Linked DNA regions of Saccharomyces cerevisiae S288C. The protein of the gene in region 1 purifies or fractionates together with the protein of each later gene. This does not show direct contact. Each region holds a gene or a part of one and is shown on either strand. Other genes may lie near its edges.

What was found.
Region 2: the proteins of APS2 (region 1) and APM4 purify together in Saccharomyces cerevisiae (affinity purification with western blotting; 2 studies listed by BioGRID, with this or other methods). This does not show direct contact.

Annotation. Positions count from the first base shown.
Region 1 is NC_001142.9:544,232-547,289, reverse strand, and holds APS2 (Aps2p), read left to right. Parts: upstream 1-2,114; coding exon 2,115-2,558; downstream 2,559-3,058. Other genes in the region: protein kinase PTK2, read right to left, coding at 1-1,503; CDC8 (bifunctional thymidylate/uridylate kinase), read right to left, coding at 2,578-3,058. UniProt on the Saccharomyces cerevisiae protein: Component of the adaptor complexes which link clathrin to receptors in coated vesicles. Clathrin-associated protein complexes are believed to interact with the cytoplasmic tails of membrane proteins, leading to their selection and concentration.
Region 2 is NC_001147.6:209,781-214,033, reverse strand, and holds APM4 (Apm4p), read left to right. Parts: upstream 1-2,038; coding exon 2,039-3,514; downstream 3,515-4,253. Other genes in the region: MAM3 (Mam3p), read left to right, coding at 1-17; ribose phosphate diphosphokinase subunit PRS5, read right to left, coding at 300-1,790; CRT10 (Crt10p), read left to right, coding at 3,769-4,253. UniProt on the Saccharomyces cerevisiae protein: Component of the adaptor complexes which link clathrin to receptors in coated vesicles. Clathrin-associated protein complexes are believed to interact with the cytoplasmic tails of membrane proteins, leading to their selection and concentration.

The DNA.
Region 1 (3,058 bases):
GTTGTCATATGACACTTCAAATTCCCTGAATCTCGCATCAGTGTTACAAGAATCGATGAAGGGGATGATATTGTTAATCATGGTAATCAGCATGATTCCGAGGGCATAGGAATCCATGGCCAACGGATTATAGGGTTTTTGGAACTTTTCGGGGTAGTGCTTCTTGGCATCGAAGTACATTACCTCTGGCGGAGTGTATGGTGGAGAGCCAATCATACCTTGGCATGTTTTCACTGGACTAGTGTAGTCATGAGGTATCACATGGTACCAATCAGAAATACCGAAATCCGTCAATTTGCATATACCTTCTTTAGAAATTAAAACATTTTCGGGCTTCAAATCACGGTGAGCAATACCATTGTCATGACAAAACTTAATACCTTGGGCCACTTGTTTGAAAAGACAATATTTTTCATTGAAGGGAACGTTCTTCCAGCCTGTTCTTTCCATCAGTTGGAAGAGGTCCTTAACACCTAGTTCCATAATAAACCCCCAACCACGAGTTGTATATGTGGTCGTGGGAACTTTTAGAAGATAAAAAGTATTCGTGATGTGAACGTTATGACTTAAATGCTTAGCTATGATGAATTCTTTGGAGCATCTCTTGTAAAACTTCTCGGGTGACTCGTGGTATATCATATTCAGTTTTTTTAGAGCGTAAACATCCTTTTGCCTGTAACTTGATTTAACCTTTCTAACTTCACTAGACCCACCCGAACCAATAGGTTTATTGTCCGTATCAAATACGAAATTATCCGTTAAATGGACACTATATTGTTTCATATCTTCGGGCAAAAAATCGTTCGGATTAGCAATTGGAAGGGGCAACATCCGTATCTTGCTGTTACCATCATGCATGTAAAAACTCAAATCGTTCTCCTTATTCGTATTCAGAGTGTCTGCAAATGCAGTATCTGGCCTAGCATGGTTTGGGCTTATGCCGTATGGATTATAAACTATATTCTCGTTGGGAAAATGGTGACTAGCCATGCTATTAGACCTTTGCGGTAAGCCCGCGTGATGAGTATTTCTTTCTTTGTTTCTCGCCCTTTCTTTTTCCTTTTCTCTATCCAAAACTGCTCTATCCCTATCTCTTGTCGAGGCAATGCCAGTACCTGTGCCCAGAATATCAGAGGGAGAGTTCAAGTAAGGGTTATTATTATGTTTAATTAAGTCCTGCAATGCGACAGAGGACTTGTGTGACGACACAGACCCATTTGAAAATCCTACAGAAGCATTGTTTTTTCTTCTATGTAAAGAAGCAGATCTCTGCCGTGCCCCAGCAGAAGACGAAGGTGAATTACCACCGCTACCACTGCCACTAATGGACGGAGACGTTGGCCTTTTTCTTAAACTTCTCCCATTGCCCAATTGTTCGGCACTAAGCAGTAACGAAGAGTTATCCGTGTGACTGCTGGAATTAAACAGGCGTTTTCCCAATAGTTTCAAAGTACTAACAGAGGGACTTTTATCTACCTCTTTGTCCTTACCGTTTCCCGCCATTATCTTATTCAATCGGTTAACCTGTAAAAAACTGCTACGGCTTACACAACTTTACTTTCCTGGTGTGCGTGCGATATCGTGGTTTGGATAAGGGTAGCGACGGGATGTGACAATACCTTTCTTTAACACTATATATAAACCTGCTTTTACCGTCAACCGGATATTATTTGGTTCTACCTCCCACCTGCAAGGGGTCGTGCCAATGACGAAAAGACAGCCACCCATGCACCGCACTCGCACGTGGCAACTATTTGCGCCTTTGCCCAAGAGGTTATGCTTGTAGATGGGGTGACCGTACTAAAGCGTTCATGTTGTATATACCATATATGTAGGCTTGAATGGCTATAGGACGCGGGTATGTTTATCATGCTGCCGGCACGTAGTACTTGCAGCTCCGGCATTTCTAAACTGTACCTGTAGTGGAAGGGTCTTTCCAATAGTTTTGCAAGACATATCATTTTGCACGCATAGAACAGTTTCGGATACTTTTGATACAAACGGGGAGGAATGGTTTATTCAGTAGGTACATTAAGAACGTTTGCCTTGAGATAGCGTTTGGTGCTGTTATTTTGTGAAGAACGGAGACTTGTTTGCTGTAAGGGATAAAAAAAATGGCAGTACAGTTTATACTGTGCTTTAATAAGCAGGGTGTGGTGCGGTTGGTGAGATGGTTCGATGTACACAGTTCGGATCCTCAGCGTAGCCAGGATGCCATTGCGCAGATTTATAGACTCATATCTTCCAGAGATCATAAGCATCAGAGTAACTTCGTAGAGTTTTCCGATTCGACGAAACTCATATACAGGAGGTATGCGGGTCTGTATTTTGTCATGGGTGTGGACTTACTTGACGATGAACCCATATATTTGTGCCACATCCATCTGTTTGTGGAGGTGCTAGATGCATTTTTCGGCAATGTCTGTGAACTGGATATCGTATTCAACTTTTACAAAGTCTATATGATAATGGACGAGATGTTTATTGGAGGGGAAATACAAGAAATTTCAAAGGATATGCTGTTAGAAAGACTAAGTATTTTAGATAGACTAGACTAGGATATATGTACAGATCCTCCTAGAAGAACGAAAATTTATCATGATCAATATGCGTACTCAAAACAGGCTCAACGATTTGCCAAATAAGCGCTTCAACTTCCTGAATGCCCTTATTAGTAACGTCTACAATCGTGATTGACTCATCGCCTTTCCTTATCTCTTTATCCAATAGCTTCATAAAAGTTTGCTTCACTTTTTCTTGAAACTTAACAGTTTCGTATCTTTCGTCACCAAATCCAGATTTTTCGGCGTTATTGTCGACATCTTGAGTGCTTAAAAATAATGTCAAATCCGGTTTCAGCAACCCTACATCGGGTTGCAAGCACCAATCCAAATCCATTCCATTTGTCCCCTTAGCGGCAGAATATGCCACTCCAGAATAAACATATCTGTCCATGACAATGTTCTTGCCTTCTAGTAAATCTTTCTTTATCTTGTCAACTATTTCCCATCTATTTGCCGAAAACAAGAGGTGAATTGCCTGATCTGATAATTGGAAA
Region 2 (4,253 bases), on another chromosome or scaffold:
CGACCATAAAAAGATGAAGAGATTATGCCAAAAGAATTGCCCATGCATCATAATAACCATCATCACCGTTCTTATTAGTCCCAGACGCATGAAATCACAGGGGAGAGCAGCTTAAAATTTTTTCTACAGACATACAAGAAGAAATTGCAGTTTTTTTTTTTTTGTTTCTCTAACCTATAAATAAAATGTTTCAATACACATACTAAACAAAGAAAAAAAAATGTAGAGAATTTTATACGCAAAATATATAGACACTTTCCCCTATTTTTATCAATAAAAAAATGAACACATCAATGCCACTACCATCCATGCTCGAACAACATAGAAATGGATTCACCGTTATGGATTCTTCTAATTGCTTCACCGATTATGCAGGAGACATCAATAACATCCACTCTGTCCTTACCTAGGTACTGTAGTGTTCTATCTTGAGGAACCGTGTTAGAAATGATCAACTTATCTATACTACTTTGGCCGATTCTTTCTAGCGCATCACCGGAAAAAACACCGTGCGTTATTAAGGCATAAACTTTGGTAGATCCTTGATCCTTCAACAATTTCGCAGCTCTTGTAATAGTGTATGAAGTATCCACCAAGTCGTCGACTATAATACACACCTTGTTTCTAACATCGCCAACAAGCATGGTAGTTTGAACGAACTTGGACGAATTAGAAGATTGCGACGAGGTGGAAGATGTTGAAGTTGTTTTCTTCATTTCAAGGGCCGCAACCCCAGTGGCACCTGAAGAAGTAGTATTTTGGGAGGAAACCAAAGTAGTAACTAATGGCCTTGGAGATACTGGTAACGAACCACCAGAGGTTAACGTCGCATCTGGAGGGCCCTTCAATAACTGAGATCTTCTTTCTTTATGAATTAGGGCGAAGGACAATTCCAAGGCGTCTGCAATAGCCGTAGCTCTCTTTGCACCACCAGCATCTGGAGAAACGATCACAGCATCCTGATAATCTGGAATGCGATGCTGGATGTAGTTTTGTGCAATGGGTTTACAGTAGAGATTATCCACTGGAATGTCAAAAAACCCAGGGAACTGTGGATCGTGCAAATCCATTGTGATCACATGGTCAGCACCTGCAGCACTCAACAAATGAGCAATCAAAGTACCGGCTTGTACTACCCATAGCTTATAGCCTGCATTTTGAGCGTTGAACAATTCACCAGCGTCCGTGCTATTGCTTGTATTTTGTAACTTACCACCGGGAATCATAGGAATTCTTGAAAAAGAAAGCGTCTTCTTGATGTCGAAATTGTTATTCGCCGTAGCACTGCTGTTTGGTGTTCTGATAGGTTGAGGATTTTCTAAGTTGATAGTTGATCGTATTGCACTATCCAAACTCTTCAACGAGCTCTCAGCACCTGGTCTTTGCGTCATTAAAGAAGATGACACGGGTGTGCCTGGATGCGATTCAAAAGTATAGTTTTCTTTAGGCTTGGAAATTATGGGAGCACCCTTGGCAGTATATGGAATATCTGGCTGTCTCGAGTAGCAGAGATATGGCATTACGGCTGTAACCCTCGAGGCAGAAGCGGACTTGCAGGCACTGATTAAAATCAGCAACTGCATGAACGTGTCGTTCACCTGGCCACAACCACTCTGGATGATATATACATCCTTTTCACGAACAGATTCGCGAAGAGCAATGTTCGTTTCCCCATTAGAAAACTTCCCTAATTCTACTTTCGATGGGTGAATGTCCAAATTTTCACAGATCTTAGTAACTAACTCGGGGTGCGAGTCCCCTCCAAAAACAACAATATTACTCATTGACATCCAGACTGCGTTCCTAGCCTCGTAGCAACCTCCAACAAAGTCACTTTCGACCAACTTACTCTCATCTCATCCAGCCCTTCTCGCTAATCGTAGCCATTTATTATTTGATAGAAAATTTTTTTCAACTGCGGTCGAAGGGTAACAGCCATATTTTCCTTAATTGATTAGTATAGGAGAACTTGATGATAAAGTGTGGAAACCTTTCATAAACGGTTGGAGAAAAGAATCACATAGAGTTATGGTGAGCAATGATTAGTGGTGTGCTGGTATACTCATCGAGAGGTGAACTTGTCTTGAACAAGTTCTTCAAGAACTCGTTGAAGCGGTCCATATCCGATATCTTCCGAGTACAAGTGATCAATAATCTAGATGTTAGATCGCCTGTTTTGACACTGGGCTCAACTACTTTCCATCACATCAGGTCGAGGCATGGTGACAATTTGTGGTTGGTAACCATTACGAGAAGCAACGCTAATAGTGCGGCGATCTGGGAGTTCTTATATAAGCTTGATGCAGTGATGAATGCTTATCGATTGGATAGAGAGGAGGCCTTGAAAGAGGAATTCATGATTGTGCATGAGATGCTGGATATAATGTTGGGTGGAAATGGGATACCAATTGACACTGAATTGAACTCTGTTATAGCGCAGATGTCTGTGAAACCCGTTAGAAATATGGGCGGATTGTTAGATAGTCCCGATGGAAATGATGTATTATCTTCCTCTTCATCTCCTACTTCTTCAGCAGGAGAACTACATTTTCCCAAATTTTTGACAAAAAGAAGCAGTAGTTTCCTGGGTCAAGGAGACTCCACTTCTGATTTCTATGATAACAATAAGATCACTTGGAGGCCCAAGGGGATAATACACAAGAAGGATGAAGTTTTCTTGTATGTCAATGAGAGGATAAACATTCTGGTATCTAGGGATGGTTCTATCTTGAAATCATACGTTGATGGCACCATAGATATCACCACACACTTGAGTGGGACCCCTATTTGTAGATTTGGATTGAATGATTCTTTGGGAATGCAGTCCGAAGACGAGAAGAAATGGTTAGCACAGCAGCAGCGTCACTCTGGCAGCGATTTTGGAAACAAGAACTTCATTCCCAAAGCTGCTGCCGGTAGTGTTTTGTTGGAAGATTGCAAGTTTCACGAATGTGTCTCACTTGACAAATTTAACAGAAATCATATCATTGAATTCGTCCCACCAGACGGTTCGATGGAGTTGATGAAATATCATGTACGAGATAACATAAACCTGCCGTTCAAGGTTACACCTATTGTTACACATTCTACAAGAGATAACGAGATTGATTACAGGATAACATTGAAGTCTTTATTTCCTGGAAAACTTTCCGCCAAAGATGTGGTACTACATATACCCGTTCCACCAAGCACTGTGGATTGTAAGATAAGTGTCTCTAATGGCCACTGTAAGTTTGTGCCAGAAGAAAATGCAATGATTTGGAGGTTCAACAAGTACAATGGGTTGACGGAAAACACTTTAAGTGCAGTTACTGTGTCCACAAGTGATACTACTCAATTGAATCTTCAACAATGGACAAGACCTCCAATATCCCTGGAATTCGAGGTCATGATGTTCAGTAATTCTGGCTTAGTCGTACGATACTTTACCATTTCTGGAAAAGACAGTAAGCATCGTGCTGTAAAATGGATTAAATATATATCGAAAGCCGGTTCTTACGAGGTGAGGTACTAGCCCGTAATTTTTGTGTACATATATTTTTATCATGCCTGTATTTTTTATAGTAATTTCCTTTAGAATGCACATTTTGTTAATATTGAATATTTTCTATTATGAGAGACATGCAATTTAGTTTTTCATTGAAAAGAAAACAGGGAAAAAACATGGAAAAACCATACAAGACACCAAAAACACCATAGTAATGAAGATCAACAGCGCAATCAAGAGGCACTGGTACTTCTAGGCTTGAAAATTTGGTTTTGAATATAATGCCCCCTCAGATTCCCAATGAAAATGATGATCTCTTTACAAGGTGGCTTAAGTCTCGGGCCATCATACAAAGGGCAGTATCGACAAGAGAGTGCTTTGACTCAGAAGTATTTCTGGCGTCTGGTGGCTGGAATATAACGAATGAGATAATAACGTTAAAGAAATATTATCAACTCAAGTGGCCAAACTCCAGTTGCAATTCGTTTCATCCAAAAACCGTGGAGTTTATTAAAGAACGATTACACAACCTAGAAGAACATGACTCTTCATGGAAAATCCCAAATCCTGCTTACTCATTCAAGAAAGCCTTCTTGGAGGATACTAAATCTGCATTTTCCAACTTAGAACCCGTCTGGGGACCATCAAGGCTTTTGAATCCAGCTGAATTACTATTGCCACAGGACGAAAAACTACTTGTTCAAGAGATACCACTAGAGTTCGCACCTTTTCAATACACAAATAGGTTTGCTTATGGTGGTTTGCA